2 linked regions of the Caenorhabditis elegans genome follow. The protein of the gene in region 2 interacts with the protein of the main gene of each other region in a pairwise test. Each region holds a gene or a part of one and is shown on either strand. Other genes may lie near its edges. The genes, in order: eif-3.D and F42A10.5.

Region 1 (15,343 bases), 2.8 Mb from region 2:
AACCGAAGTTTCCCGGTGTAACGATGATAGTATCTTTTGAAACATTATTTTCAGATATAACACACATTTTTCTACATTTCTCTGTATTCAATGTATTAATTCATTTCTATGTATTAATTCAAAGAGTTCGCCAAAAACAATAATTCCTTGTTATTAGTTTTATTCAATGCTACCGTACACCTAGAATCATTTTGAACGTCGAATTATAGAAATTGGTAAGATCCTCAAAAATACTGCCACATCTATCTTCTCGTTTCAAAAGTGCACAATCCTCAGCTACACTGAATATGGTTTTCAAAACTTTTTAAACTTAGATTTATGGAGAATATGGAATTTCAAATGTGCACTGGTTTTCAAAACTTTTTAAACTGAGATTTATGGAGAATATGGAATTTCAAATGTGTACTGGTTTTCAAAACTTTTAAAACTGAGATTTATGGAGAATATGGAATTTCAAATGTGCACTGGTTTTCAAAACTTTTAAAACTGAGATTTATGGAGAATATGGAATTTCAAATGTGCACTGGTTTTCAAAACTTTTTAAACTGAGATTTATGGAGAATATGGAATTTCAAATGTGCACTGGTTTTCAAAACTTTTTAAACTGAGATTTATGGAGAATATGGAATTTCAAATGTGCACTGGTTTTCAAAACTTTTTAAACTGAGATTTATGGAGAATATGGATTTTCAAATGTGCACTGGTTTTCAAAACTTTTTAAACTGAGATTTATGGAGAATATGGAATTTCAAATGTGTACTGGTTTTCAAAACTTTTTAAACTGAGATTTATGGAGAATATGGAATTTCAAATGTGCACTGGTTTTCAAAACTTTTAAAACTGAGATTTATGGAGAATATGGAATTTCAAATGTGCACTGGTTTTCAAAACTTTTAAAACTGAGATTTATGGAGAATATGGAATTTCAAATGTGCACTGGTTTTCAAAACTTTTAAAACTGAGATTTATGGAGAATATGGAATTTCAAATGTGTACTGGTTTTCAAAACTTTTTAAACTGAGATTTATGGAGAATATGGAATTTCAAATGTGCACTGGTTTTCAAAACTTTTAAAACTGAGATTTATGGAGAATATGGAATTTCAAATGTGCACTGGTTTTCAAAACTTTTAAAACTGAGATTTATGGAGAATATGGAATTTCAAATGTGCACTGGTTTTCAAAACTTTTAAAACTGAGATTTATGGAGAATATGGAATTTCAAATGTGCACTGGTTTTCAAAACTTTTTAAACTGAGATTTATGGAGAATATGGAATTTCAAATGTGCACTGGTTTTCAAAACTTTTTAAACTGAGATTTATGGAGAATATGGATTTTCAAATGTGCACTGGTTTTCAAAACTTTTTAAACTGAGATTTATGGAGAATATGGATTTTCAAATGTGCACTGGTTTTCAAAACTTTTTAAACTGAGATTTATGGAGAATATGGATTTTCAAATGTGCACTGGTTTTCAAAACTTTTTAAACTGAGATTTATGGAGAATATGGAATTTCAAATGAAAAAGTTTCCGCGCTGTTCTACCCCGTATTATTAATTTTATTCAATGGTACCGTACTCCTAGCATCATTTTGAACGTCGAATTATAGCAATTGGTAAGATCCTCAAAAATACTGCCACATCTATCTTCTCGTTTTGAGAGTGCACAATCTTCAGCTACACTGAATATCAGACCAATAAAGTTTAATATCAGAATGAGGAAGAAGATTCCACGCATTTTAAGAATTGTTCTGTTGAAAACTTCAATTGATCCTATCAATTTATAGACCTCAATTCTTTAGGACAGGTGCTCAAATATTAGGTTGAAGAGCACAAAAACAAAATGTTTTTCCCCATTGTTTTCAGTAAATTTCTTTGTATTTCATTGGCAATAAAAGACTGTTTTTTGTGTCACAACAAAACAATTTCTTCATAGTGGGTGATAAGAAAGATACGCGTATTCATCTTCTCAAGTAATCCGTTAAGAATAAGAATTAGAATCAGTGCAATGGATTGAAGAGTGAATAACTGGTTAGATACCGATTGGTAGGCAGAGATATGGGATTAGGGAGGCAGCGAAAGTTGCGTCATCCAATGAAAATGGTCGAGGGCGCAAAGTTCTAGGATTTGAAATGAACGAGTTTAGGGGAAAACTAAGATTAGATTCAATTAATAGGTCTAACCAAGAGTGAGTGGTACTTGCCGTTCGGCAATCCGAATTTTTGGTAATTGGAAAAATCGAAAATTGTGGAAATCGGAAACTACCGAAAGTGCCAAATTGCCTAAAATTTTCAAGCTCAATTACTACATTGTTCAAATAGCGAATAATTAGAACATTTATCTATAAAAATTCTTGTAGAAAGCAAACTTTAAATATTAGAATATTACATCTCTAACAATTTCCAAATAGTGTGCAAATGGCACAAGGTTTTTCTACTGAATTATTATTTTGGATAGTTTCTGAAATTATGCTATCTATTGTATAAATGTAAAGTATTGACAACGCGATATGTATTCCTCAAGTTTGATCTACTTAGAAGTTTTTGTCCACTTTTGTGGCCTTTCTCGTTTTTGAAATGGGTTAGCAAATAGAAATGAGGGTTTTTGTGTATTATTGGAACGCATTTAAAAATGAAATGTTTTAGTTTATGAAAAATAAAATGTGTAGTTTTAGGATTTTTAGACTTAAAAATGCACTTTCAATGGGCAATCTTTGACAAGTGAATGCAAATTAAATTTATTTCAAAAATGGATTCCGATGTAAGTGCCGAAATAAGTTTATGTAAAATGCCCATAAATGCATTATTCCTATATTTTACTGATGTACCAACCACTTAAAAAATATTCTTAATTTTACCAATCCACCCCTAATAAATCTGAAACAACGATCACACAAGGTGTTTTGTTACGTCTCGACTATCTCCCTCCCTACTCAGATAAACGCTTTCAATTGATGTGATGATAGTAGAAGAACCATCTGAAATCCGAATAAAGATGTCGTAACTGGTAAGTGAGAACCGGTGTCATTCTGTGATAACAGTATATGTCTGTGTGTATATGTTTTTGCCAAAACCAGACGTTTCGCGCAAGCAGTGGGCGGCGTCCCAAATTCTCCAAGACACACTACTTGTTCTTCTGCACTAGTAATTGCGATAAGTATATAAGATCGACTTGTTCTCCTAATAAGCATCATTCTTTCAGTCGCATCTTTTTAAAGCATCCTACTTTTTCGGTCACTTTTTTATATTTACCATCGATTATCTAGTTACCAAAGATCTGAGAATTCTGAAAAAACCTGAATTGTTCCCCAAATGTTGGTTTTTAGATAAAGATTTCAGAATGGCTACCTACCTTCGGTTGGTAGTTCTCTTCCTATTGACGATCCACGTTTCGTCATTCCTCTTCCCTAGCGCCGGAGGAGGAGGAGGTGGAGGTAGATTTGAAAATCCCTTTTCTTAAAAATAATTTACGCATATTTTCAGGCGGCTGCGGTGGCGGCTGCGGTGGTGGCTGCGGTGGTGGCGGAGGATGTGCTCCACCACCTGCTCCGTGTGGAGGTGGATGTGGAGGTGGAGGTGGTGGCTGCGGAGGTGGCGGAGGATGTGCTCCACCACCTGCTCCGTGTGGAGGTGGATGTGGAGGTGGAGGAGGTGGATGCGGAGGTGGAGGTGGTGGCTGCGGAGGCGGCGGAGGATGCGGTGGAGGAGGCGGAGGATGCGGAGGAGGTGGCGGAGGATGCGGTGGAGGAGGTGGAGGATGCGGAGGAGGAGGTGGAGGATGCGGAGGAGGAGGCGGCGGAGGATGTGGTGGAGGATCCAGCGGAGGATGCGGTGGAGGATCTAGCGGAGGATGCGGAGGAGGAGGTGGCGGAGGATGCGGAGGAGGAGGCGGTGGAGGCTGTGGAGGAGGATCCAGCGGAGGAGGTGGATATGCTGTTGCACCATCAGGTGGAGGAGGATGCGGAGGAGGAGGATCAAGCGGAGGAGGTGGATATGCTGTTGCTCCATCAGGAGGAGGAGGATGCGGAGGTGGAGGATCCAGCGGTGGAGGAGGATATGCCTCGGCTCCATCCGGAGGCGGTGGATACGCAACTAGCGGAGGTAAGAACTTAGTTACGAATAATATCAAATCAGCACTGAAATGTTTCCAGGAGGAGGCAGCGGTGGATACGCTACCGGTGGAAGCTCTGGAGGAGGATATTCATCTGGAGGAAGCTCCGGCGGAGGATACTCAACTGGCGGAGGTATAAACGCATTCTTTGATAATAATCAAACGTTAATTATTTCAGGAGGAGGATATGCCGGAGGAGGCGGAGGAGGCGGCGGAAGCAGCGGAGGATATGCCGGAAGCAGTGGTGGAGGAGGATATTCAGCCCCAGCTGCTGCTCCACCACCGCCACCTCCACCACCACCACCACCAGCTCCAGCTCCAGTGTCGAGCGGAGGAGGATACTCTGAACAAGCAAGTGGTGGTTCTTCTTACCCGTCACGCTTCAGATTCTCGCGCTTCTTCAACAAGGCATAATTTAAGTACCATCACAATTCCCAATGATGCCCCCCGTTATGATATTGTTGTGAGAAATGAGAGTGACTGTAGCAGTCAATTCTCAACAAGAAGTGTCTAGTATTGTCTCTTTTCCCACCATCTTTCCTGTCAGAGCCGAGATTCCATCATCTCTTCTCAAATTTTATGTTTTGTTGCCAACGTCTTGTCTGTCGGCCAAAACAAAACCCATGTGTCCTGTATATAAATGTTTCCGAATGTGTACGTCGTTTTCTAACGCAATGCATGAACACAAACATATCAACGAAGATTACATTATTCAGTTAAAGGTTCACAGGCTCAATGTGTTAAAATGACAAGCAGACTGACTCTCAACTAAATGGATTTGGAAGAATACGTGGTATGTAGATCAACTTGACGTTTAATGGTAGAATACTAATACTTTTAAAGTTTGACTAACTATTAATCTAGTTGTGAATAGTAGTTAGAATATGCAATGGAACTGACATTCTTATAGGTGGAATCATTTCTGATTTTCGATAAGAATAGATAGTTTTTAACTATGGGTTTTGTAATAATGCAAAGTTTTTGTAACTGTGGCTGAAAGTTAGCTTTAAACAATAGATCTCATAACCTTTTATAGTTGACTGATAGCTAGAGATGTTAGGTGCGCGCCCATTTCACAACACTATAACGTATTCATTGTTCAGAGCAGCGGAGGAGGAGGAGGATCGTCTTATTCCGGCGGAGGAGAAGCATCATCGTCATCCGGAGGTGGATATTCAGGAGGTGGTGAATCCTCATCGAGCGGTGGATCTTCTTATTCTAGCGGAGGAGACTCGTCTTCGTCATCAGGCGGAGGATACTCATCGGGAGGTGACAGCTCATCATCATCATCTTCATCTGGAGGATATTCGGGAGGGAGTGATTCATCGTCGAGCTCATCATCCTCGTCTGGTGGATATTCATCCGGAGGAGGCGATGCTGGAGCATCATCTGGAGGAGAGTCCTCTTCTGCAGGAGGATATTCCGGATCTTCATCAAGCGGAGGAGAAGCATCATCCGGAGGATACTCTGGTGGATCGTCAGAGCCAGCACCAGCTCCAGAAGCAGCACCTGCTTCATCTGGGGGATACTCAGGAGGATCCGAAGCAGCACCAGAAGCTGCTCCAGCAGCACCATCAGGTGGATATTCAGGATCTGAGGCTGCACCAGAAGCTGCTCCAGCAGCCCCATCAGGTGGATATTCAGGATCCGAAGCAGCACCAGAAGCTGCTCCAGCAGCACCATCAGGTGGATATTCAGGTTCTGAAGCTGCACCGGAAGCCGCTCCAGCGGCCCCATCCGGTGGATACTCTGGATCTGAAGCAGCACCAGAAGCAGCTCCAGCAGCTCCATCTGGGGGATATTCCGGATCAGAGGCAGCTCCAGAAGCCGCACCAGCAGCCCCATCTGGGGGATACTCAGGATCTGAATCCTCAGCACCTGCCGCTCCAGAGCCAGCTCCGTCTTCTGGAGGCTATTCTGGAGGAGGAGGTGACGCTGGATCAGCTGCTGGAGGCAGCAACTACTCTGGAGGTGGTGAAACCGCTCCAGCTGCCCCACCACCAGCTCCGGAACCAGCTCAAACCTACTCAGGAGCAGGTGGAGAGTCGGCCGCCGCCGCACCAGCACCATCTGGAGGAGGATACAGTGGAAGTGGAGGAGCCGGTGGAGCACCAAATGGAGCCAATTATGACGAAGCACAAGAAGATGTAGAAGAATATGAAGGAGGAGCTGCTGGATTCAGAAACAGAAGATTCTCAAAGGGAGGAACTGCTGATGATACTCCAATCTGTAACTCAGTTAGACTCAGGAAACTTATTAGACAGGTTAGTAGAACTCAAATGAATGTTTAAACATTCTAAACTGAAAAACAATTTCAGAGTCTCACTGAGGATCCAGAATCCTCAATGCAACGTTTGGCTCAACGTGTCAAATCTCGTCTTGTGAGTGGAGAATTCTATGTTGCCTGTGGAGAGCAAGGTCTCTTACCACTTGCTGGAGAGAATCGTGAGCACTGTTTCATCAAGAGCGGAAAATTCGCTTGCTATGTCCTAAGAAAAGCCTAAACATGAGCTGTACAACTTGTCACATGACTATTTATTCTAATTTAATATACATTGGTTATAACTTCTCGCACTCGATACATTTGACAGGAACACAATTTTTTTCAATAAATTATTATTAATAAATCGTTTTCTGATTAATTTGATGGATTATTCTTTGAAATTTGAGTACTGTACATTGGGATTTTTCTTCAAAAATAAAATTTTCAAATTCACAAAAACAACAAAAGAATCTGATAGGTTGGAAACGTAGGCGGAGCGAATCGCTGATTGGTCGCAGTTCTCATTTCGGAGAGAATTCAAATGGGTTCAAATGTCAATATTTTTCGTTTTTCTTTTAGTGTTTCTGAATTAGAGAATAGTTTGGATTTTTATGCAAAATCCCCATTTACGGTACGCTAAGTTTCTACTCACTTCATGCGGAAAAAGGACAACTTTACAATGAGTTCATATGAAACTACTTAGATGCTCATAAAAACCTTTTTTTTTTGCAAAATAATTTACTGATAATAAATAAAGGCAGAAAAGAAAATAATTTTGAAACACTGGAAAATTTATCATTATTACTCGTATTCGGCAATCGATTTGTAGTATTCGGATTGATTTGCTGTTTTGGTGTTCTCCGTTTTTGCAAGTTTTCCTTCGAATCCATTTGATCTGAAATTTAAAATTTGTATTTTTCATGTCTCAAATTCTGAGGGTTTACCTGTCCACTCCGTCCCATCGATATCCGGGGGCGATTCCAAATCGATTTGGTACAAAATGTCCGTGATATGAAGGATATACCAGTTCTCCACGATCAATTGCTGTGTCTCGGCGCTTTTTCTGAATCATGTTTGCCATCGGATCAGCCGCATGCAGCACTTCTTTTAGATGGGCATTCATTGCATCGTCATCTCGAGCTCTAGCCATTGGCTCAGCAGCAACTCTGGCCATTTCTTCAAGTTGTGCTCTACGATCTTCAATCTGAGCAACTCCTTTATTCCATGATTTATATTTTTCTTTCAATTCTTCTGTTTTCTTCGTTTCGCGTTCTTTTTTCGCCTGATCTTCTTCAGAATCTTTGCCTTTTTTCTTCGTTTGTTTCTGTCTGTATACAGTATCAGCGAATCGACCGCTCACCGAAGTGTCCATTTCTTCAAACATTTTCGAATTTTTAGCTCTCAGTTTATCGCTCTCTTCTTTCAAATCTCGTGCTGATTGCAATCCGGATCTTTTGCCTTCTAACGTTCTTCCAGATGTCTCTGTATCACTGTCAGGCTCTTCTTTCTTTATTTTCTTCGGTTCTTCGATCTTTCTCGATTTTCTCGGGGGACTCAGATCATCGTCTTTACGTCGACGAGCAGGAGATGATGGTCGTCTTCTAGGCGGAGAATTATCCGAATCACGACGAGAACGGTTACGAGGAGGCGAGTTGTCACTATCATGCCGATCTCTTCGCGTTCTGGGTGGTGAGCGTCGATTTCTAGCAGATGGACTTTCTGAAAAATGCAAATAAAATATTTATGATTGAGCAAAAATAGGTTTTCGACGAACCTTCTCTTATTTTCCGTGATGGACGTGGGGGTGAATTGTCACTATCGTGTCGTCTTCTCCTTGGCGGTGAATTATCTGAAAATTCGAGGTATCAAATTTTTTAAAGTTTTTAAAAGTTTACTTACCCTTGTCGCTGTCATGCCGATTTCGTGATGGTCGTGGTGGAGAATTGTCACTGTCATTTCGCTTTCTAGAAGGTCTTGGTGGAGAGTTGTCGCTATCGTGACGTTGACGTTTCCCCCGCGGCGGAGAGTTATCAGGTGATAATGGTTCCGGTTTTATTACTTTTGGAGCATCAACCTCGGCAAATGTCTGCTTGAATCCATGAACTACTTTTGCTTTCTTAACGCTCTGCTTCAAAACTTCAATTTCTTCTCGTTCTTCGTCGGATCCAATATCTCTTGTTTTGGCAGCATCCACAGAAAGAAATGCATCTTCTTCGATTAGTCGCAGCCTGAAATATAATGTATTTTTTAATATAAACTTTCTTCAAATAATATTTAACTTACCCGCTTGGCTTGTTTTTGTCTTTGTTCTTCTTCTTTTTCTTCTTTTCGATATCACCGGAAGCAGGAGACAGATATTTTTTTAAATAATCCGCTTTCGATGTCATAGCTGGCGATTACTGAAACAAATATAACTGTATTTAGACAAGTTTAAATTAAATAATAACATTATTAAAGTATTAAAAAGAAAAAAAGTCGAATTCGAAAATGGTGGCCGCGTGGCCGAACTAGGCTGGAGTTCTCGGCCATAATGATATTTCTAGTCCATTTTGTCGAAAAATAAAATGTTTTTAAACATAGTATTTTTCAAAGGAATTCCAGTTTTCAAAGCTTTTCTAGGAAATATATTTTCTTTAAGGTTCCTAGAATGGAGACTGAAATTCCGGTGAATGAAAAGGAGACTTCCTTCCGCAGAAGAGTTTACACTACGATCGAAACTCTCATTGACATCGAAAATACTGATCAATTACAAGAACATGTAAGATTATTTAAATGATGATAAGATTTATTAAAGTTTTGTTTTTCAGCTTCCACATCTCCACTGTCTCGGATGGGACGAAGTTGTCGAAGAGCGATATGTGAATAAGCAGTGCGGTTTTCCTTCTTGTCAAAAAGCTCCACCAAAAATCACTAGAAATCAAATGTTCGAAATCGACAGAAAAGAAGGAAAAATTTTCGAGTTTCGCAAGCAAAGAGCTAAATTTTGTTCGGAGATGTGCTATCAGAAAAGTTCTTTCGTAAGAAAGCAATTAGATGAGCATCCGCTCTGGATTACCGGTTTAACGGAGGCGAGAACTCGTAAGTTATTGTATCAAATAATACTATTAACCGTATTCATTATTCAGAGAAAGTATACGAAGTTCCTGATGAATCATTTGTAAGCCCGATTGCTGAAAAAAGTGAACCCGTGGATTCGCAATTCAAAAAAGAACCTTCTATTTGGCTGGTGACCGATTCGGTAAGTGAAGAGAAATGCTCACTAATATATTTAAGTGTTTCAGATCATTGCGAAAGTTCAAGACATGAAACTAAGCGAAGAAGCCGAAGAACCAAAATCTCTAGATCCAGAAGATCAAGATATCGAACCATTTAAATTAACTGATGATGACAAAGATTTTATCAAATCTATCAAGGAATTTAGAAATTCGAATTTTGGTCCTCCATCGACTTCGAAACTTTTGAAAACAGCCCCGAAACCTGTACTATCAGCAAAAGATCGTAAAAAAGAAGACGAAGTTCTCGCAAAGCTGCGTGCAAAGTATGGAAATAAAAATGCTCTGCAAAAGAAGCCACCAATTCTGATTGAGGCTCAAGAGATCCATTCAAAATTGAAAACTATGGAAAAAGCAAAAGAAGCGTGGCTCGTTGATTTAATTAAGTTAGAAAACTCTCAAAATATAAATTTTACAAATAATTATCTCATTTAAGATCCTGGTTCACACCTGAAACTCGTAAATTGGTTCGAGAAGGTGCCAGACCAACCGGTGGAGCTGCTGAGCAAATTTTGATGGATTTTTTGTCCGGTAAAAAGGTGGACGCGGAGAAATTGGTCAATTTGCCGAATCTTGATAAGTACAATGTGAAAGAGAAGAGATTGAATATTTTCCTGCATTCTATTAGGAATCAGTGAGTTTATCTAGCAATTTTAAATATTAATTTTGAAATTACAGCTGGATGGATTTGGAAGCACGTTTACATTTAACTCCAACTCGTCGTGATATTCTCAGTCGAGTAGCTTCGACATTCCAACTCGATTCGGAAAATATCACTGGCTGGACAAAGAGAGAAATTAATTCTATCGTTATTGCTCTTTTCATTGTGTAAGTTCTAAAAAATGCATAATTAAAAAATTTCAAAATGTTGAAATTTAGGATTTGCCTCGTCGATGTTGAGCTTGGAGACGACTACTTCAAGAAGGACAACGCTTCTCCAGAACTTACTGCGATTTCCAATGAACTATGCGGGCTTGATTCTTTCCAAATTACCGGTTTGCACGCTGCGATTAAATCCCAATGTTGAATGATATTTTGAATAAAGTTTATCTTATCAGAACCAAGTTTAATTAACAAGAGACAATAATTAGAAAAGCGAATACAAGAAATTGTCAGAAACCGGGGACTTTATTGATCGTCATCCGAGTTCTCCTCGTCGGAGCTCTCGCGCTCGCTTTCGAAAGTTCCTTCTGGAAGCGAATAAAGGCGGATAACCGGAGATTGTGGATCCTTCATCAACAAGTACTTTCCTGGTTTTTGCTTCATACAACTGGAAAAAATTGATTACCAGTCTGGATGTGCTCGTTCTTACCTGTCAATGACGCATCTAAGAATTCCCCAGCAGTTATCCATGTTCAAGGCGATGTTGCTAGCAAACTCCGTTGGCTTTACGTATTGGGTGAGTAGAATAGAATGATTTTGTGTGCTGCGTGCATTGTTACGAGACACATATCCGAGCTTCATTGTGTCGGAACCGGCAAGAAGTGCTTGCAGAGTCCACTTTGCAACCTTAGCTGAGTTGTTCTTGATTTCGGTGGCCATTACGGCTCCCTTTTGAACATCAAGCTTTGTTCTCCAGTCGACACCTCCAGATTGTGTGCTATCCCATTCGTTGAATGCCTTGATTGTAAGAGTCTGAGTCTCATTTCCGAGTCCGTGAATAACTCCATCCAATTCTGTACGGCAAACCAACTCAACTGGTTTTCCATCAACTCCGTTTCCAAGATTCCACTTACGGTATCTAAAAATTGTTTAATTAAAGATCAAAATTTTAAACGAAAATCCTACTTGTAAGCAGTTCCTGACTCTCCAGTCTCCTCGTCTTCGAATGGAGCACGAGCATTCTTGAAGGTGAATCCTGCGTCGTTTCTCTTGACGACTTGACGACGGAAGTTTTGGTTAATGTAGAATGCCTCGGTCGCAAGATCCTTGGCATTGTTGATACCATTTCCGTCGAATGATGGTGGTTCGGCACTAGTCTCGGAAACAGTAAGGGTCTCAACTGGATTCAAAATATCTCTAGTGTTTCTCTTATCGAAGAAAAGTTTGTCTCCGACTCTGTAGGCAACAATGTCCCACGAGTAGACCGAACGAGGAGCAGTCATCAAAGTAGCAAGAATTATGTCTGTTCCGAAAACATTTCCAGCACCACCTTGAGCAAGTTCTTGAATTACAGGATCTTCCGTTGTGGTGACATTGTAGAACACGCCAGCGCATCTTTGAAGCGGAATAGAATTTTTCACAGAAACGCGATCAATAGTCTTGTCATAGTATTGAAGACTTCCATACTGGTGATCCCCAATGTCGTCTCCTCCTGGGATGTTAGGAAGAGCAAGTTTGGAAAACGCACTAAGATTCATTTCTTCAAGAACAACCCATTCCGGTCTAACTTGAACAGATGGAAGACGTTCCTTCGGCCGATCACCTCCGAATCGACCACCTTGTCCGCGTTGTCCTTGACGAGCATTTCCTCCACGACGTTGCCACATCTTGAAGGCACGTTGTTGCTCCTTGGCGATACTTCTCTTCATTCTCAAATTCGTTGACTGGTTCACCATCTCACGCTTCTCATTTTCTTTCTGCATCATCTTACGAAGATGCATTTGGCGGACACGGAAGTTGCGCTGTGGATTGCGAGCCATTGGTTTAGAAGTGTCAACAAGTTGGAAGTTATGCTCATCCATTCCATGAATGTAATCGAACTGACTTCCAGCGTTGGCGGCGGATCCATAGACACGCTCATTGTATCTAAATTTCAAGTTTTAACGATACCACTCATTTGTTGTATAAAAACCTCTCATTTCCTCTTCTATAGAATCTATCAACACCAATCCAGTCGGCAACACGTCCGATGCGATCAGCCTTGTTGAATTGTTGGAATGGAACAGGCTCATCAGCAGAGGAACTCGACGCCAATGGACCCCATCCGACTGTATTATCAGCCAATGACAACAGTTCAAACTTTGGTAGAGCCATACCTGAAATAAATATAAAATAGTGTTGAAATGCAATTTTAGGCCAAACGATAGCAACGACAAAAGAAATGGAAATGGAACAATAACATTCGAGAGCATTTAAAATATAGTTACAAGACTTTCATGAATTTATATAATTCACAAAACAGAAAAATTAATCAGAAAATCGTATAAAAATGTGAAAAATCCGACAAGAACGCGTGTAAAAATAAAAATGTTTAATCGAGAAATGCGCAAGGTACACGAAACGCGCCAACATTCGCCACTTGACGCCACCTCAATTTTTGGTTTTTATTTGTTTTCTCCAAATTTCCTCGCATAATCAGAATATAATTCCAGAAACGGGTCCACCTTGATGAATACAGTGCCACAAAGTATTCGAGTCATTCAGCTCTATCGACAGATTTTAAAATTGGGCAAGAATTGGAAAGCAAAAGAAGAAACAAATACTGTAGTTGAGAGACAACAAATTATCACTGAAGCTCGTCAGGCTTTCCGAGAGCACCAGCAGGTATTCTCGTTCTCAATATTGATGTGGAAACTAATTATATGGGATTTTTCAGGAAAAAGACCCAATAGTGATTGGCAAACTAATCTATCAAGCGGAGCAGCGAATCGTTCAAGCAGAACACTACGGAATTCCACATGCAAGACCCGAATACCTTCCTCCTGATACCGCTTATTCAGTCAGAACGAAAACGCAAAATTTTCACAAAATGTCAAGAAAACGGAGAACTGAGCGGGATGGTCCACTCAGAAAAGGAGACAACTGAACTCCAGTTCAAAAGATTTTATTGTAGCGCTTCAAAAATTCCGGATCAGCTAATGAAGGATATTGTAGAACAATGCATAAAAGATTCGGAATATGCTGAGAATCTTTGCAACAATGTCTTCAATAATGAAATTGTCACATCGCATGAAATTCGTTACAAATTTCAAATAAATGTTCTTAAAAACTTGATTTCTGAACTTCAAGCCAATAATGTTGTTGTTCCTGATTCAATGTTCGACAGGCTTGGTTCTCTAATGGGAATGAAAGAAGGAGAATATGTGGAAAGAGTAAGTTTTTAAACAATTCGTCAGCTCAAATGGAAATAATTTCATATTTTCAGGTTTACCTAACCGATGGAGGCGACAAAGTTCTAGCGAAATTCTCGGAAGCTGTAAATCAACTATCAATGGGTACAACTGGCTTATCAGTTTGGCAAGCTTCTTGTGATCTCGCCAATCTTTTTCGCTTGATTCCCTCCGAGTACAATCGAATATTAGAACTCGGGTCAGGATGTGGTGTTAGTGGAATTGCAATTGCAAAAATGAATGATTGTTGTGTGACGCTCACTGATTATGATGATAATGTGCTGAATCTTTTAGAAGAGAATATTGCGAAAAACGATCTGAAGAGTGATACTGAAGGTATTTTTTGAGAAATAAAATCGACTCCTTCCGTATTTCAAATTTAAAAATATTTAGAATCTAAATTGTAGATTCGTCAGCCAACAACAATCAAGCAACAGTTCGCTCACTCAATTGGTGTGATTTTGATTTCTCTGAATGGAAGGAACCCACGGATTTGATTATCGCGGCCGGTAGGTTTTGCTAATACTTTTATTTGTTAAATTCTTTGTTTTTCTATATGATATTCGTGTGAAACGAAACCCTTCAAATAACAGCTTCAGGCACTCATTATCCAAGTCTTCTCATTTCTCTGTGTCTCTCTTCTCTTTCACGTCTCCTTTTTCAGATGTTGTCTACGACACTGCATTGCTCGCCTCTCTCTGCAATGTGCTCAATCTTCTGCTCCGCCACTCAAAAGCTGCTATCGTTGCGTGCACTCGTCGTAACGAGTCGAGTATTGAGTGTTTCGAGCATCATTTGAGTTAGTTATTTTTCTTTCGTACACAATATTTTTCTATTCACTATATTTTTTACAGAAATGGCAAAACTAGAAATTGTGGAAAAATTCGAATACGAAAACGGTGCCTACACAATTGGAGAAAATTCGTATCATTATGCATCTATTTTCCCATTTTTCTCAACTCTCAAAACACCTACAATTTTTTATAATATCCAGCCTAAAAATAAATTAGTTTTTTAGTATTAAAGCTTCATTAAAATTTTTTATTTCACATCGTTACTGCGACGTATTGCATTTATCTATTATTTTTCTATTTTTTCCTTATTGTCCGAACGCGAAATTCTGTGGTTTTGCTCCAACAATACGATTCCTGGTCTCGACACGGCAGTTTTTGCTGAATACAAACGGAGTTTACGTCTTTAAAAGATTACTGTAATTTTAAACTTCCGTTGCCGCGTATTTTTAATCGAAGGTTCATATTTTTCATTAAAAACTATATATTCGTTGAAAAATAAAAAATAAACCATTAAAACACTTATATTTTTTAATTGTGAGAAAAACTATAAGAAGTTTCACAGCAATCAAAGTTTCAATCTACAGTACTATTTAAAGGCGCACACCCGTTTGTATTGTCGTGTCGAGACCAGGTTTTTTTGGAGAAACATTTGGACAATATGCATATAATTTTTTTACAGATGTCTCAAACTCCGGCAACTCCAGTGACTCGTGATGAAATAGAGGTCACATTTGCGGCAATGTGCACCGAACAAAAGCCAAATTTGCTCAAGCTTTCACAATTGAAAATGGTGCTCCGTGCTCTTGGATATGATCCAAGAAACTCAAAAGTACAAGAGATGACTAGGAAAAT
Region 2 (15,078 bases):
CAACAAAAACTCGAAAAATTTTTAAAAATAGAAAGAAACAAGAAAAAGCAAAACCCAGGGTACGGTATCTGAAAAGTTTCGCTCGCGCTAAGACTTTATTAATTTTATTAATTGATTCAAAAAATCACACATTTTTTAGTGAAACTATATCTTTGAATTTCACAAACCTGTCCGTCGGTGTATTTTGTTGTGATTTTTCAAATTTTGAAATGAACATTAGTGTGGTATTGATTGATTATTCTTCTCATTTTCCAATTATAATTTTCTTATAATTTCAGAGTATGCGAGGAACTCCACGACAACGAGCACAAGCTTTTGATGGAATGTGATAAGAAACTTTATGGCCATTTATGAACCGATTTTCCTTTTTTTTCTTCAGTTTTTCCCCATCCCGATAAGAGATAACCCCATTTTGTGCTCATTCAGTTTATTGATTTTTCCACACCCTTTTGCCATTTTTCAATCAATAATCTTTCGTGGCAAGACAAAAACGCGTATTTTTCTTCTTTTTTCCGAAAGGCATATTGTGTAAATATACATATCGAATGATTGATGAATACAGATTTTTTTTAAATGTTTTTTTATTAACTTAAAATAATGAAAAAATCTGTAATTTATTAATTCATTTCCAGCAAAAATGGGCGAAAAATTCAAGGTTTTCGTGTATGGAACCCTGAAAACAGGAGAGCCAAACTACAAGGTTCTGTCAGAAACTGACGGAGAATATCGGTAAGTTCGGGAGTACTGAAGAATTTTGAGTGTCAAATGTGATGCATTACTTCTTTCAGATTCATCTCATCTGGAACTACAGTGGAAAAGTTCCCATTGGTAGTTGGAACCAAATATAACATTCCATTTTTGCTTGATGATGCTGGGAATGGAAATGTGAGTTTTACAACCTGAAGTTTATTTAAACCGACGTACTTTGAAGCATATTGACAAGTAATTAAAAAAAAAGAACGAGAACGGAATCAGCTTTGGCAGGGAAACAAAGATGAATAAGGAAATTTTAAAGAAAGAAACAGAAAAATGATTATGCGCACGGTTTAAAGGGAGTATAAATGCCAAAAACTTGTTTAGATCCGAAATTTTTTTGGTATTCAAAATCTTTGAAATTTTTTTCTTTCCTTGAATCCGGGGACTGTGACAGGGGGAAACTAAAAATTGTAGGGGATGGGGATACTAACTAATATGAAAAAAAAAACAAACAATAATGTACATTATACCAGAAAAAAGGATATACATTGAGGATTGAAGAAAGGGGAATTCAAGAATCATTCTCCACACATTTCCGCTTTTTCATAGTATTTATTTGCGAGCTTTCCATTCATTGCTTCCATTGCTGCTTCAGCAGCTTCATTGAATAGACCATATGCTCGTTCGAAGTCTTGATTCAGGCCATAACCTCCCTCTTTGTACATTTCAGCCATTTTGGCTAGAATCTCGTGACGAGTCAGTGGAGCAAATGAGGAGAATGTCGTTTTTCCACAATCAGAGTCAAGTTCTTCTTCTTCTTGGAATCCAACGACGCGTTGATACCTACAAAATTTAGAATATTTCTCAAGTTTATAGAAAAAATGTTAAGGAACAAAATCATCCAAGAAGTCCAGAATAAAAATCGCAAATAGGTCATATATGATTTTCTTTTTGAAAAATACAACAAGTAGATTTAGTTTTTTCTGAACATATTTTTTGAAGGTTCCTAGTTTTTCTGGTTTTTCACAATTTTTCTTATAAAAAATGAATCAGAGACGGGTACTTCTATTCGAATTTTAAAAAATTTTCGATTAAAAAATTTCAATTTCAATTTCCAAATTTCCTAAATGTTCAAAAATTCAAATTTCAAAAAATCGAAAATCTTCGTTTTTTGATTTTTTTTTTCGTAAATTGAAATTTTTATTTAGAAGAAAAAAAATTTCCATCGAAACAAACAAAGTTTGATGAAATTTCAAATCTGTTAATTACATTCTAAATCTTTTTTTTCGATTTTCAATTTTCCGGCTATTCGAAAAAATTTTCAATTAAAAAAAATTAGAAGCTATAGCATCAAACATTTTAGCTTTTTTAGGTTTCTTAAAAGTATTCTCTATAAAGTCGGGTTACTGTATCTTCACTAGAATCTCATAAATTTCTTACCAATCAATCGATTTCTTATAATCCGTTCTTCGATTCGGTCCGAGATGCTGACCAGTTTCATAAGCGTGTGCCATGTACAGCATTGCACCCTTATCACCCATCTCTGCAGCAATTTCCATCAGATCGGAGCCGAACTCTTCTAGGTCTGAAAATTTTTGAATTTTGATAAAATACGGGATGCTGAGAACACTAGGATTGAATCTTTCAAAAAAGGAAACAACACGAAAGGTTAAATTGGGAAATCACAAAATAATTTTTAAAAAGCACACACGAGAAAACTTGATTCTTACCACAAGGTTTTTGTCCTTTATCAGCTGAAAAGTTGGAATTTCAGATTTAAAAGAGAAAAATTAACAAAAAAAGCTCACCTCGAATTCCATTTTCCTGTTCTCCAAACCCATTAGGAAACAGATCATCAACGGTGACTTCTTTCAACAATTCATGTGGTAATCCGAGAACAATATGAGCCGATGTTAGCACAGCCTCAAGGATTCCACACTTCCGAGCGATATCCAAATGGAAAATTGCAGACTGCTTGTCGTATTTGATTGGTACACGAGCGTCATTTTCACTTCCCTCAAGCATTTCCTTATGTTCTGAATCAACTTCTACGAACCGCCCGAGCTCATGATATCGTGAGAGATCAATATGAATCTGACCGAGGACAGAGAACTGATGCCCGGTGACTTGTGGTACGTCTTCATCATTTTCCAGGTTAGCAGCCATTTGTTGAAGTTGAAGTGATAGAATGTTTGCTGGAACTGATTGTTTTCGAAGAACCTTCCAGAATTCATCCTTTTCAGTGTCTCTGGTTTGTCTAGAACTATTCATAGAATATGTCCCAACAGAACTTCTGAAGCTATCATGTCTCTGACGAAGTGAGTTTAAATCTACAAATCCGCATTTTCTAGGACGAGATGCTGATTCATCGCCAGAAGATCTCGTTGAAATGCTCATTCTACTACGTCGACTTTTCTGACTATTTCCACTTTTTTCACTTCTTGGATAGTCTTCTTCTTCGTCCTCTTCATCTTCGGAGCAAGGCTCACAGAGTTGCTCAACAACTGGAATACACTCAGGACATACACAGTCTTCGTTGTGACTCTGAAAAATATAAAAATAGAATACGTTAGAACTTTTTTAAATGTTTCTTTCACCTTTGCTGACAAATCGGTTGACGATTGATTCAACGTCTTCCTTTTTCTCAATTGATCCATCGAAATACCATGCTCGACATGTACACATTCACTTGAAATTCGATTTCTTCTTGCTTCGAACACAGTTGGAGGAACTATGCATGACTTTTTCTGCTTTGCAGCTACTTCCATCGCAACTTCGGTAGCCTCGATTTCAGGTGGCGAAAGTTCGAAATTTGATAGATCCATTGTCTCACAAATATCGTTACATCTGTGTGAATGGAAGAAAAGAGCCATTCCACGAGTTCCGAGGTTTCCATCTCCATAATCAGTTCCCACAACTGTATGAATCTGAGGATCTGTGTAAAGATCACCAACTCCTTGAATATCGACAACCATCATTTGATGACCAGAACGTTCGAAGGTGAAGTGAGAAAATGCTTGTGGTGTAAGACGAGCTGCATTTGATACAAATCCTGAGTTTGAATTGTATTTTATATATTTTCCCTCGATGAAATGCTCCAAATGATAGAGTGGAGAACCTTTTACATCAATCATCTCAATGACACACATTTGAACAATATCAATTTTCTTCGGTGGATTATACCGATTATATTCTTCAGCCCATAATTTGGCATCCATCTGAAGTCTGACATCATCGAAAAGAACTCTACGATCGACTTGACAAATGTATCTTTTTGCGACATAGTTGCTGCTCCAATCTTGACTTGTTCCGTGCTTGGAGCACTTTTTGAGTCGGTAGCATTCTCGCATGGCTCCACGTGCAAAACTGTCCGGATGAAGTCTCACATCGACTATATCCTCTGTCCATTGCTTTCTGATTGCAGAATACCTATATCGTTTAGCTCGTTGTACTGGATACTCGTGGATGTTGAACTCATCCCATGGATCTATATAGTTTGTTCTTGCTCGGCGAGCAGCCTTGCGCCATGTCTCCATAAGTTTTCTAACGTGGAGAGGATCCATACGAGGCTTCTCGATAACGACATCATTCTGTTCAATGAACACTTCATCTGCGTAGTCGTCGGTTATCCGAACCATTTTTGACGCATTGAGCGAGAATGTCCGAGCCGAGGCCTTGAAAGTAAAAATTGTAGTTTGTTTAATTGAATTTTAATTAAATAAATTTAATTTTGTTAAAGAATTGTTTTCAAAAATCCCACCTCCAATCCTGGTGAGTTAGTTGGACTATTGTCGCTCTCATTTGTTGTGTCGATCGTCATTTTGCCCAGTTTGACTACTGAAACAACTATTTTGTAAATAATTAATCCAAATTTTTTCAGAACATTGAAGGAGAAATGTATGAAGTTTGCGAGAAGAAATTGAAGGTGCTCGATGAGTTGGAAGCCTACCCAACATTGTACGATAGAAAGAAAGTTGAGGTAAGTCAGATAAAAAAGGTTCTGTTTGATTTCCTACTGTAGATGTTTTTATTCTTAAAAAACGATATTACCTAGTTGCGAAAAAGATTTAAAGTGTAAAATCTATGAAATTGGGAAAAACTGGACGTGGAGAACTACCGTACTTTTTAAAGGCGCACTCTCTTGTTTGCGCTGAAATTTTTTGGTCGCGTTGAGACCAGGTATCGTATCAGAACTCAAGGCAAGTCAAAGGTCTTGTTTTCTATGTCAGGCCCAGACACTACTCATCTAATCACACCCAACAAAAAACGAGCATGAATTAAAGCGACAACGGGGGGAGAACGTGTCGAATGAAAGAATACTTGAAAGCAGATGATAGAGAAAAGAGAAGCAAACAAACATATAAACAGTTTGATTTCTGTTCCATCGAGATGCGTCACGTGCTGGTCAGCTGAGAGCTTTTTATGGAAATTTTTGGATGTAATAACAATATGTTTATTATGCATTCGTAAAAAATGGATCCAAAAGTAAATTTGATCTCAGTGAAAAGAAATCGATTTTTAAAAATAACATTCTGAAACGACCATTAGAAGTAATAATTGAAAATTATTAAAGGTTTTCCAATTATTTTCTGAATATTTGTTTCTGATAATTGATAATTGAGATTTATGAAATTCGTATTCACTTTTAGAACAATTTTAAGATTCAAACTGCAGAAGTTTTCTATTTCGAGCATTTTTAGGTTTTTAGTCTATAATCCAGTGATTTGTGTGTAGAGAAGAGTTGGGTAAATAGAGAATTACGAGGATCGAGAACCAGATTCGGAAGATATTATCTTTTTCAATGGAAAACATACGATTTTGGATTAAAGTCCGTAAATTGTGTTTTATAAATCATTTTTATAAATGAGATTATGCATTTTGAAAAGAAACAAAAACTATTTCATATTTTGTAAGTATTGTAGGCATTTAGAGGTATCTTCAAAAGTTCTATAAAATTATTTTTTAAAAAATCTAAAATCCTCCCCGATATCGGGCCCGATAGGAATAAATAGAGAAAGAAAAAAGCTCATAAATTATAATGGGTAATATTTTTTGAAGGAACATTCGAGAAACGTCGAGGAAAATTTTCAAGATCAAAGATTAAAAAATCAAAAGAACAAAAAATCGAAAATTACTTTCAATTTTAAGTTTTTCAGTTTTGCACGTTTTTGTACTTACAGTTAGACATTAAAGATAAAAATGATTTTTTGTGATTTGATAAAAAGGGCAGATGGTGAATAATATATCAATGAGAAACCAATCCTATTATTTTTAATGAACATAATAAATCATCTGGTTGAGTAGATTCTTGGAATATAAAAATGAAATATTCTGATTTCCTTGAAACTTCAATCTGACCGAGCCGAATGTAATAGGTCAAATGTGACCAATATCTCTCAGACATTTATCACTAGCACTTTAAAATAGAAACAGGAATCAGTAGACTCTCTGAAGTTGAAAAAAGACCGACGGAAAAACTGGGAGAAAACTACGTGAAGAAATGGAAAATCGAGAAAGGCCTAGAGGCACCCAGAAGAATGGAGAAAGGAGAAGAAGGAGAGACAATGATGAAGAATGAGAGATTTAGAGAAACAGACAGAGTGTAAACCGAAAAGAGATGGGTGTGCACATTTGACTTGGATGGATGAATGGTTGGGACCACTTGGTGTTTTTTTTGGCTGAAAAATATAGAGGAAGTTAAAATAAAGTGTATATGAAGGAACCTATAATTATTGATTTAGGATATTTATGGAATAGATAATATGAATGAGCTCATTCAGACAGCGCGGGTTACTGTAGAAAGTAGACACGAAATTTTCAAAAAAAAATGTAAACGTCTTCGACCGTTTGTTTTATTTTTCATTGTTGAATCATAACAATACCAACTTACAAAACATATCTGAAAATGGGGAATTTCTCATTCAAAAACATGAAAATTTCAGATCAAACTTCCGTCTGGCACTACTGAGACTGCGTTTATCTATCTGCTGAAAAGCTGGCGCCCAGATCTACTTTCCACGTCATCCGAAATGATGACCAACTACTCAAGCCTCGGAGCTCATGGTAGACCTTATGTGGACAGGTAAGAGAAAAATGTGCCTTTTAAAACTAGAGTTAAATTAAATATTTCTTTGAAAAACAAATTCCAGTGATTTATTGAAAAATTACGCGCACGACTGGAATTTTCAGATACGTGCGCGCAAAAGAGATGCTTGACGATCTCGACGGCAGTTCGAACCTCTATCATGATATTTTGGGCGCTGAGAACCTGATCTACATCGAGTTGGCTCAGAGAAAAGCCGAGTTCGATTTGAAAAGTGGGGAAATTTACAAATAACTATTCAATGAACCTACATTTAATTTTTTTTGCAGCGAGAACCTAACCAACGAGAATGAAATGTACGAAGCAATGTGATCACCGAGTAACAGTTCCTCATCGTTATAATTTGAATAAATGAATAATAATCTGGGATTGAAAACACACATGCAAGATAACAAAGACGAGCACATTGGGAATGTATAAACGTTTATATGAAAAAGAAAAAAGGGAAACGAAAGAAAAAGACACCATGATTGAATCCGAAAGGGAATTGGGCAAAGAGAATATGATAGAGCACTTGTATAAATAGCACAAGTAGAAAAAGAGCAAAGTGCTCATGGGGAAAACATTTTGAAACTTTCTTTCGTTGAAACCGTAACCGACGACACGCGAAACAGGCGGATTTGAGATTTTTGGCGTGACACCGAAAATAGGAGACGACCTTCGAAATGCATAAGATTTCGAAAAAAGATACCAAAATTCGATTCACGTGAATTCTCAAACCACACCGTCCGCTGTCAACTACCCTATAAATTTCACGGGGTATTGTGGGTCGTTCAAGAATTGGTAGAGCAACAATAAAGAGTGAAGTGCGTTTAAGCACGAAATGATAAGAGAAATTTGGGACATAACAAGTTGATAGGGACGAAATTAATAATGTACTAAATTATGAGAATACTAACCAAAAAAAGGATATTATAGAATAAAGAAAAACAATGAATAAGGAAATGGGAACACAGAAAACAGAAGAATAAGAAAATAGTTGGGCCTATTATTGATTTTTCCTCAAATGTGGAGGAACGTACGATCCAGCCTTGGCAGCTCCCGAAGATGCTGGAGCAGCAGCTGCAGGGGCTGGTGCTGGCTCGTTACGCGCTGGAGCTGGATTGGCGGCGCTCATCATCTGAAACGTTGAATTTAGACATTTTCAAGAATAATAAAAATGATTTTTGATAGTTTTAAAACCTTGAAAACTTAGAGTAATTATTTTTCCTTGACACATACCTTGAGAGCTGCAAGAGCACTATCACGTCCACTTCCAGCAGTTGTCGGATACGATCTTGAAGACCCACTTGAAGATGGGCCCGAACTTCCTGGCCAAGCTCCACCGGATCCAGCTTTTACCCAACCTCCTGGTGATTTGCTCTCCTCTTTCTTATTCTTCTCAATTTTGCTTGCATCCGCTAATGATGGGAAGGCAGCGTCACTACCCATATCCAGATTTGCAGCAGCAGCTCTTGGTCTGTACGGAGCTCCTGGTCTTCTCATTGCAGGTGGCTTGTAAGCGGCAGCCATTGCTTTGTCACTGATCGTCACAGCTTGTTCCGGCTCCTCCGTCGCTTTCTTTTCACTGCTAACTTGTCCCCAAGTCTTTGTCTCATGAACCTCGCGATCTTCTGGTTCTTCGTTATTTACTTGATCTTGTTCACTTTCAAGACCCATATCTTTGATTTTCAGACCATCTAGTCTGCAATAAATGAGATATTTAAATGAAATCGGAGCGAATAATCTACTAACCTTCCTTGACTTTCTCCGTATTCAATCCATTCACTTTCTTCGTTAGGATTCACGGCCTTCTCCTCTTCTACCCGCTTTTCAGAAACATCCTCCGACTCTTGCTCATACTCCTCTTGACGCTTGGCTCTTCGTTCGAGTGCTTGACCGACTTCTTCGATTTTAACGGCGGACTTCTTTTTCTTGTCTTTCTTTTTAGCAAAGAAAGCGCTCAAATCGTCACTCATTTTGTGTTGTTGTGAAAAGCGAGTCGGAACTGAAACGTGGAACATTTAGAGAGTAAAATTATTTTGAACGGCCTAAAATGAAACGACAATAGCACAGTTTTCTAATATAGTGAAGTTCAAATAACGAATATGACATGTAAAGTTACTGTGCACAAAGAACAAATGATAGGAAGTGGCAAACTAGCTGGAATTTACTGAAAATGAGAAGAAAACGCGACGCAACACGTCACGCGCGTATCAGAGATTCATTGCAGTTATTTGGCAGAAGGCTGTCTTGACAATAATGAATTTGCTAATTGGAATAGTTTAGGCTTTTGGAGCTTCTAAATATAACTAACAAAAAATGAACAAAACGTGTAAGTTGAAGAGAAATCCAGCTAAAAATTCAGTTTCGCAACAAAAAAAAGTTAGAGACTGCAAACGCGCCAGGACGATTACTGGCGTGTATGGCGATTTTGTTGACGCATATCTCGTTTTATTCAGTTTTCTCTCACATTTACAGTATTTTCGGATGAATAAATTGCTTTTGGTCGAGTTTATAGCAGTTTACATGTATTTATTAAATTAATATTTTAGTCATTTGGATAATGATACAGTTTCCACCACCCAATAAATAAAACCTTACTTTTTTAGGACTCGTAGTGTATGCTAGAGGAATCTCACTTGGTGGACGAGCTAACAGCTTCTTTCATCTCCGATCAAACGTATTATCTTCTTCTGATTCCAAGTCTCATTCCGGTTTTCATCGTCTTTCACTTTTTCAATTGGCTGGGTATGATACGAGAAACGCAACTTATTTACGAGTGTGTTATGAATTTTTTCCAGGTTACGAGTTCTTCTTGAACAATTAAATAATGGCAAATGTTGAAGCAATTCCTGGCTATCTCACGGCCACTTTTCCCACACTTCCAATTGAGATCAAAGACTATGTCTCTGCAATTCTCAAAGAGAATTCCGATGAGATCACATCTTTAGATGAAGTTATGGATGCCGTTGGTGAACATCTTCAAGCTTCCGTGGAAAATCTTTGCGAGGTTGGAGCTAAGAATGCTTGTCAACAACTTCTGAAACTACTTCACGGAGACAACCTTCCAAAGGCTATCAAACAACAGGAAGCAACTACGAAACGTCTCGAGCAAACTGTTGACATGGCTGCTGAAAATCAAAACTTTGAAGCTCTTCAAAGCATCTGGAAAGTACAAACAAGAGATACTCCAACTACCGTTGATAAGAAGAAACTTGCTAAGGCCGAAGATCGTGCTGCAGCGAAAGCAGAAGCTCGTGCAGATGCACCTGTTGAACGGAAGAAGAAGAAGAATGAGCCATCAGCAACGGCTTCCCAAGCTCCAATTCGTGACTCGGGTGCCCGTGGAGCCAACTCAAAGGATATCAAACTGGAAAGTGTGGATATTTCTATCGGTACGAAACAACTTCTCTCATGTGCCGATGTCACAATGGCATTTGGAAGACGATATGGATTGGTTGGAAGAAACGGAATCGGAAAAACGACGCTGCTTAAAATGATTTCAAGCCAACAGTTGAAGATCCCCGCAGGTATTTCAATGCTGTCTGTGGAACAGGAAGTGGAAGGAGATGATACACTCGTTTTGGATGCTGTTTTGATGTCAGATACGAAGAGACAAACACTTCTTGATAGGGAAAAGACGCTGCAAGTGAGATATTCAGAAAATGATATTAATATTCAATGAGAATAATATGACAAAAAAGTCTGATTTGAATTCATTCCATTCTTGAAATATATATTTTTAATTTGAACAAAAATTAATTCATTTTTCAAAATTAAAATTTCAGAGTCGTATAAACAAGGACAATATCAATGACGCCGAGAAAACCAAATGGAATGACGAGCTTTCAAAACTTTACATCGAAATGGAAGCTCTCCAACTTGACAAAGCTCCAGCACGGGCTTCTTCCCTTCTTTATGGTCTCGGTTTCACTCCAGACGAGCAGAAGCGTCCAACAAAGGAGTTCTCTGGAGGATGGCGTATGAGAGTTGCCCTTGCCAGAGCTCTATTCGTGAAGCCAGATCTCTTGTTGCTTGACGAACCGACTAACATGTTGGACATGAGAGCGGTTTACTGGTTGGAAGGACATTTGCAAGGTTGGGAAGGAACTATTTTGACGGTTTCTCACGACCGTAAATTCCTCAACGAAATTTGCACGGACATTGTTCATTTGCACACCAGACGATTGGATCACTACAAGGGTAATTACGATCAATTTGAGAAGACGATGAAGGAAAAGTTGACGCAACAGCAGAGAGAATACGAATCACAACAGCAATTGAGACAGCATACTCAAGAGTTTATTGACAAATTCAGATACAACGCTAAAAGAGCTCCAATGGTTCAATCCAGAATCAAGATGTTGGAAAAATTGTGAGTTTTTATAAAATATTGTCACTAAAAATTTTATTATGATTTTCAGGCCTGTTCTTCTTCCTGTCGAACTCGAATCAGACATTCACTTCAAATTCCCAGAATGCGAAGTTCTCAGTAATCCAGTTCTCCAACTCGATGAAGTATCCTTCCGTTATAACGAAGATTCTCCCTATCTTTTCCGAAAGCTCAATCTCGGAACTCATGCCAACTCCCGGATTTGTATTGTCGGAGAAAACGGAGCCGGTAAAACTACACTGTTGAAACTTTTGCTCGATGATCTCCAACCATCCGTTGGACTTCGAAATGTGAATCGTCGTATTCGAATTGCCTACTTCACACAGCATCACGTTGATCAATTGGATATGGAAACATCAGCTATTGAGGTGTTGATGAAGAATCATCCTGGAAAGACTCAAGAAGATTATCGAGCAGCTTTGGGAAGATTTGGATTAGCTGGTGATATGGCTTTGCAATCTGTTGAGACACTTTCTGGAGGTCAAAAGTCTCGATTGGCATTTGCTAATTTAGCCTTGATGCAGTGAGTTTTGCTTGAAAATAGCAACATTTTCAAAAAATATTCATTTTTTCCTAGAAAAAAAAATTTATTCAAACTCCGTCTAATTCATAGTATTTTTCAGGCCAAACTACTTGATTCTTGACGAGCCTACTAATCACTTGGATGTCGAAACGGTTGAAGCTCTTGGAAAAGCGCTTAATGTTTTCAATGGAGGTGTCGTTTTAGTTTCTCACGACGAGCAACTCATCGAGCTTGTGTGCAAGGAACTTTGGGTTGTGAAGGATCGAATGGTGACAACTTTGGAGGGAGGACTCGAAGAATACAGAAAGCAAGTCTACAAGCAGCTTCAACTCACTGCCTAAATTTTTCCTGTTTTGTTTCGCATTCGGTTGTTTCCCATATTTCACCCAGTTTCCACGTTTTGTTACACTATTTAAGAATTCAATTTATAATTTTTGTTGAGAAAAAAGTTTATTGCTTTATTAAATTGTTCACTTCAAAATTTAAGTATGAGTGAGAGCTCTAGCCTGGAAAATAATGCAAAGGTCTTCCTTGCTCGGGTCATCATGAAGAAGATACTCGAGTTGGTAAGGCTTATCGTTCTGAAATTGGGGGTTTAACTTTCGAAGAATACACATCAAAATAACCTTGAGAAGATTGATGATAGCTGGAGTATCAGAGAAGTCGAGTTCCAAATTGATGACCTTGTTTTTCGGTTCAATTGGGCATGGTACTCCGTTGGTACAAGCATCGATGTTGTTCCTGGAAAAGGTTACTGTAGGTTACTGTAAGAAGCAAAAATCTTACAAAAGTCCAAAAGTTGGTACTGAAGACCATCCACAAGTAGCCATATTCCATGACCAGACCTTGATAGTTTGTTTAAGTCCAGGAGTAGTATAAGTTGAGGATGGATCATTGATGGATGTTGCAATGAGAAGTGGTTCAGTAAGACGGATTGGATATTCACTGTTACCTGGATTCAATTATACATTCGTAGAAACTATCAGAAAACTTGCGAACCACTCTTATCAGTTGGATTAACATTGGTCACCATAACTGGTCCATTTGAGCATTGCCACCAGTTGACCTTTGTCTCTGTAGTATTCGGCCATTGATCGCATGCCGACGAGAGAGCAAGTAGGGCGAAGAGACACAGACAACGAGCAAGCATCTGGAATTGAAGTAGAATTTTTCGTTTCGAAAGCTAGTGGATGTGATCTAAGTTGGAATAAAATAGTGAATCTGTAATTGGTTAACTGGGAAATTTGAGAAAATGGAAAACTAAATTGCAAAATGATCATCAAATTCGATAGGAAAAACTACGATAAGAGAAATATCAAAGCACATGGCAATTTGAAGAAACCACGCGTTTTAATAGTTTTTTGCATGTAATTGTGATTCTAGAATAAAAAAGAGGTCACAGAGAACCGGAAATATCCACAGGAAGTACTCATTTTCATTGAAAAAATTTCATATGTATATTGAGTATTCCTGAGAAATGCACCTTTCGAAGTCTCGCCACGATTGAAAATTTTGCTCACTCGTGCTATGCGCCTTTAAAACTTGGGTACCATACATTTTTATTTTTCATTACTTTGTTCAGCAACTTTAGCTTTATCAGCGTCTTAATATTACGTAGACGTCAGAAGATGAGAGTTTCCGTCATAATTTACGCAAATGGGTCTCGCCACGCGGAAAGCGGGTTACTGTAACACGTGTCAATATGAAGGCCGCTACTGCACCATGTTTTTCTAATACAATGAATAACTGATTCCAAGCTTTTTAAAATAAAATTATGATACAATGGAGGCCTAAGAAATTGACGCGTGGTAAAGTAACTCGTTGTACTCATAAGATATGAAGAAAATTTTCATTTTTGACGTCTATGCGATTTTTATATTCTTCTTCTATTTTGATCATTAAATCCGATGAATTGAAGGAAAGACAAAGTTTTAAAAAACCTGTGCAAGCACGTATTCTTCATACTTCCAACTTTAGGTACTTATTGAAATTTCTCAGTTTTCAAACTATAACTGAATCGGGAAATTATTAATAATTTCTGATTCCTTGTTTACTTGTTTGATTTTTGGTTCATTGCCAAAATGGCAAATATGCAACATTTTCCAGTGCGAATAGTTCTTTTTTATCAAAATGTTATCGCAACTTTAGTTCGATTTCGGAAATTTTTCCTTCAAATTGATAATGAACAAAAACCAACAAAAAGTCAAGATTATGTACATTTTATTGTTGTTAAAATATACGCCCGTGTTATAGTGCAAATATAATTAGAAATCTTAAAGCCAATCGCCAAATGGGAAAGCATTTTACTTAAGGAAGGCCCAAGCCTGGACCATCATGCATGAGGTGTCTCCGGATTGGTTGTCGTGAAGGATGTACTCGAGTTGATATGGCTGATTGTCCTTGAGTAAGGCGATGATTTGGTCGAACTTGGTGAAGTCAATGATGACGTCAAGTTCTTGGTTTCCTGGACGGACTGGGCATGGGACTCCGTTTGCGCAGGCGTCAAGGTCCTTCCTGGAAGATGAATCGTTATTTATTATTTAGAAGTCGAGAATAGCCTAAACAGTTCACCCATTCTAATCCATTAGAATTAACTTAAAGATATAAACTTACAAAAGACCGAGAGTTGGGATTGAGCTCCATGTGCATCCGTTCCATCCTCCATACTTCCAGATATTGACGGTGTTACGAAGATTTGGCGACACATATGTGCTCGTTGGGTTATTGATTTGAGTCTTGACAACAATTGGCTGACTCAAATGAATTGGGTACTCGTATTGTTTTCCGGTAGAGTCGTATGGAGTAGCATTCAAAAATTGAACTGGTCCAGATGAGCACTGCCACCAGTGCATCACTTTGTCGGTTCCATTTGGTGCAGCACAGTCTGCCAAGTTGTCGACAACTGGGAGAACAAAAGAAGTGGCAGCGATGCAAAGAACTGAGAGAATGACACACCTGAGAAGCATTGTGAGAGGCTGAAAGTTCAAGAATTCATTGAAAAAAATGACAGTTTTGAATGGTGAAATGGTGATAAGTAGTGATGATAAGGGAGTAGAATGCAAGTAGAATAACTTTGGGGAACTGGTTATTAAGAAGCGTAGGATCAGGCTCGGACTTCTGTTTAGACTCGAGCCCAAGTTAAAATGAATCTTGGTGTACATCATGACGATCTGCCTACAGCGTGAGTTCGGCTAAACTGTATTTTTCTACTGAAACGAATAAATGGTGAAATTATAAAACCGTTCGTGGCCTTAAATAACCAAAAGCGGAGTTTTTTCCCTACTATAGTCTAACAGAAAATCAGAAATATGACCTTCCACTCCTTCCCAAGCTCCTCATTTATACGTTTCAATTAATCTCCACCCCCTTCAAACATCCCGG

Evidence for each region.
Region 1: the proteins of F42A10.5 (region 2) and eif-3.D interact in a two-hybrid assay, tested with the Caenorhabditis elegans proteins (one large-scale study listed by BioGRID).

What each region holds. Positions count from the first base shown.
Region 1 is NC_003281.10:8,958,956-8,974,298, forward strand, and holds eif-3.D (Eukaryotic translation initiation factor 3 subunit D), read right to left. Parts: upstream 12,624-15,343; 5' UTR 12,622-12,623; coding exon 12,440-12,621; intron 12,394-12,439; coding exon 11,434-12,393; intron 11,387-11,433; coding exon 10,958-11,386; intron 10,916-10,957; coding exon 10,774-10,915; 3' UTR 10,680-10,773; downstream 1-10,679. Other genes in the region: ZK643.6 (uncharacterized protein), read right to left, coding at 1,580-1,738; grl-25 (GRound-Like (grd related)), read left to right, coding at 3,340-3,433, 3,483-4,100, 4,151-4,243, 4,289-4,461, 5,214-6,374, 6,429-6,614; bud-13 (BUD13 homolog), read right to left, coding at 7,175-7,268, 7,318-8,092, 8,148-8,222, 8,273-8,601, 8,657-8,760; Putative RNA polymerase II subunit B1 CTD phosphatase rpap-2, read left to right, coding at 9,021-9,131, 9,181-9,451, 9,499-9,611, 9,655-10,031, 10,082-10,279, 10,324-10,473, 10,525-10,672; R08D7.4 (Complex1_LYR_dom domain-containing protein), read left to right, coding at 13,266-13,679, 13,733-14,033, 14,105-14,206, 14,362-14,496, 14,552-14,715; putative calcium-binding protein R08D7.5, read left to right, coding at 15,171-15,343.
Region 2 is NC_003281.10:6,164,015-6,179,092, forward strand, and holds F42A10.5 (Protein CDV3 homolog), read right to left. Parts: upstream 8,787-15,078; 5' UTR 8,758-8,786; coding exon 8,534-8,757; intron 8,484-8,533; coding exon 8,021-8,483; intron 7,920-8,020; coding exon 7,788-7,919; 3' UTR 7,208-7,787; downstream 1-7,207. Other genes in the region: F42A10.9 (Gamma-glutamylcyclotransferase family protein), read left to right, coding at 638-729, 789-885, 4,577-4,675, 6,639-6,778, 7,069-7,111; efk-1 (Eukaryotic elongation factor 2 kinase), read right to left, coding at 1,275-1,539, 2,137-2,281, 2,427-2,450, 2,505-3,240, 3,294-4,370, 4,457-4,516; abcf-3 (ABC transporter domain-containing protein), read left to right, coding at 9,612-10,430, 10,570-11,156, 11,206-11,697, 11,798-12,038; F42A10.6 (MD-2-related lipid-recognition domain-containing protein), read right to left, coding at 12,180-12,278, 12,324-12,438, 12,484-12,649, 12,697-12,847; F42A10.7 (MD-2-related lipid-recognition domain-containing protein), read right to left, coding at 14,001-14,211, 14,311-14,663.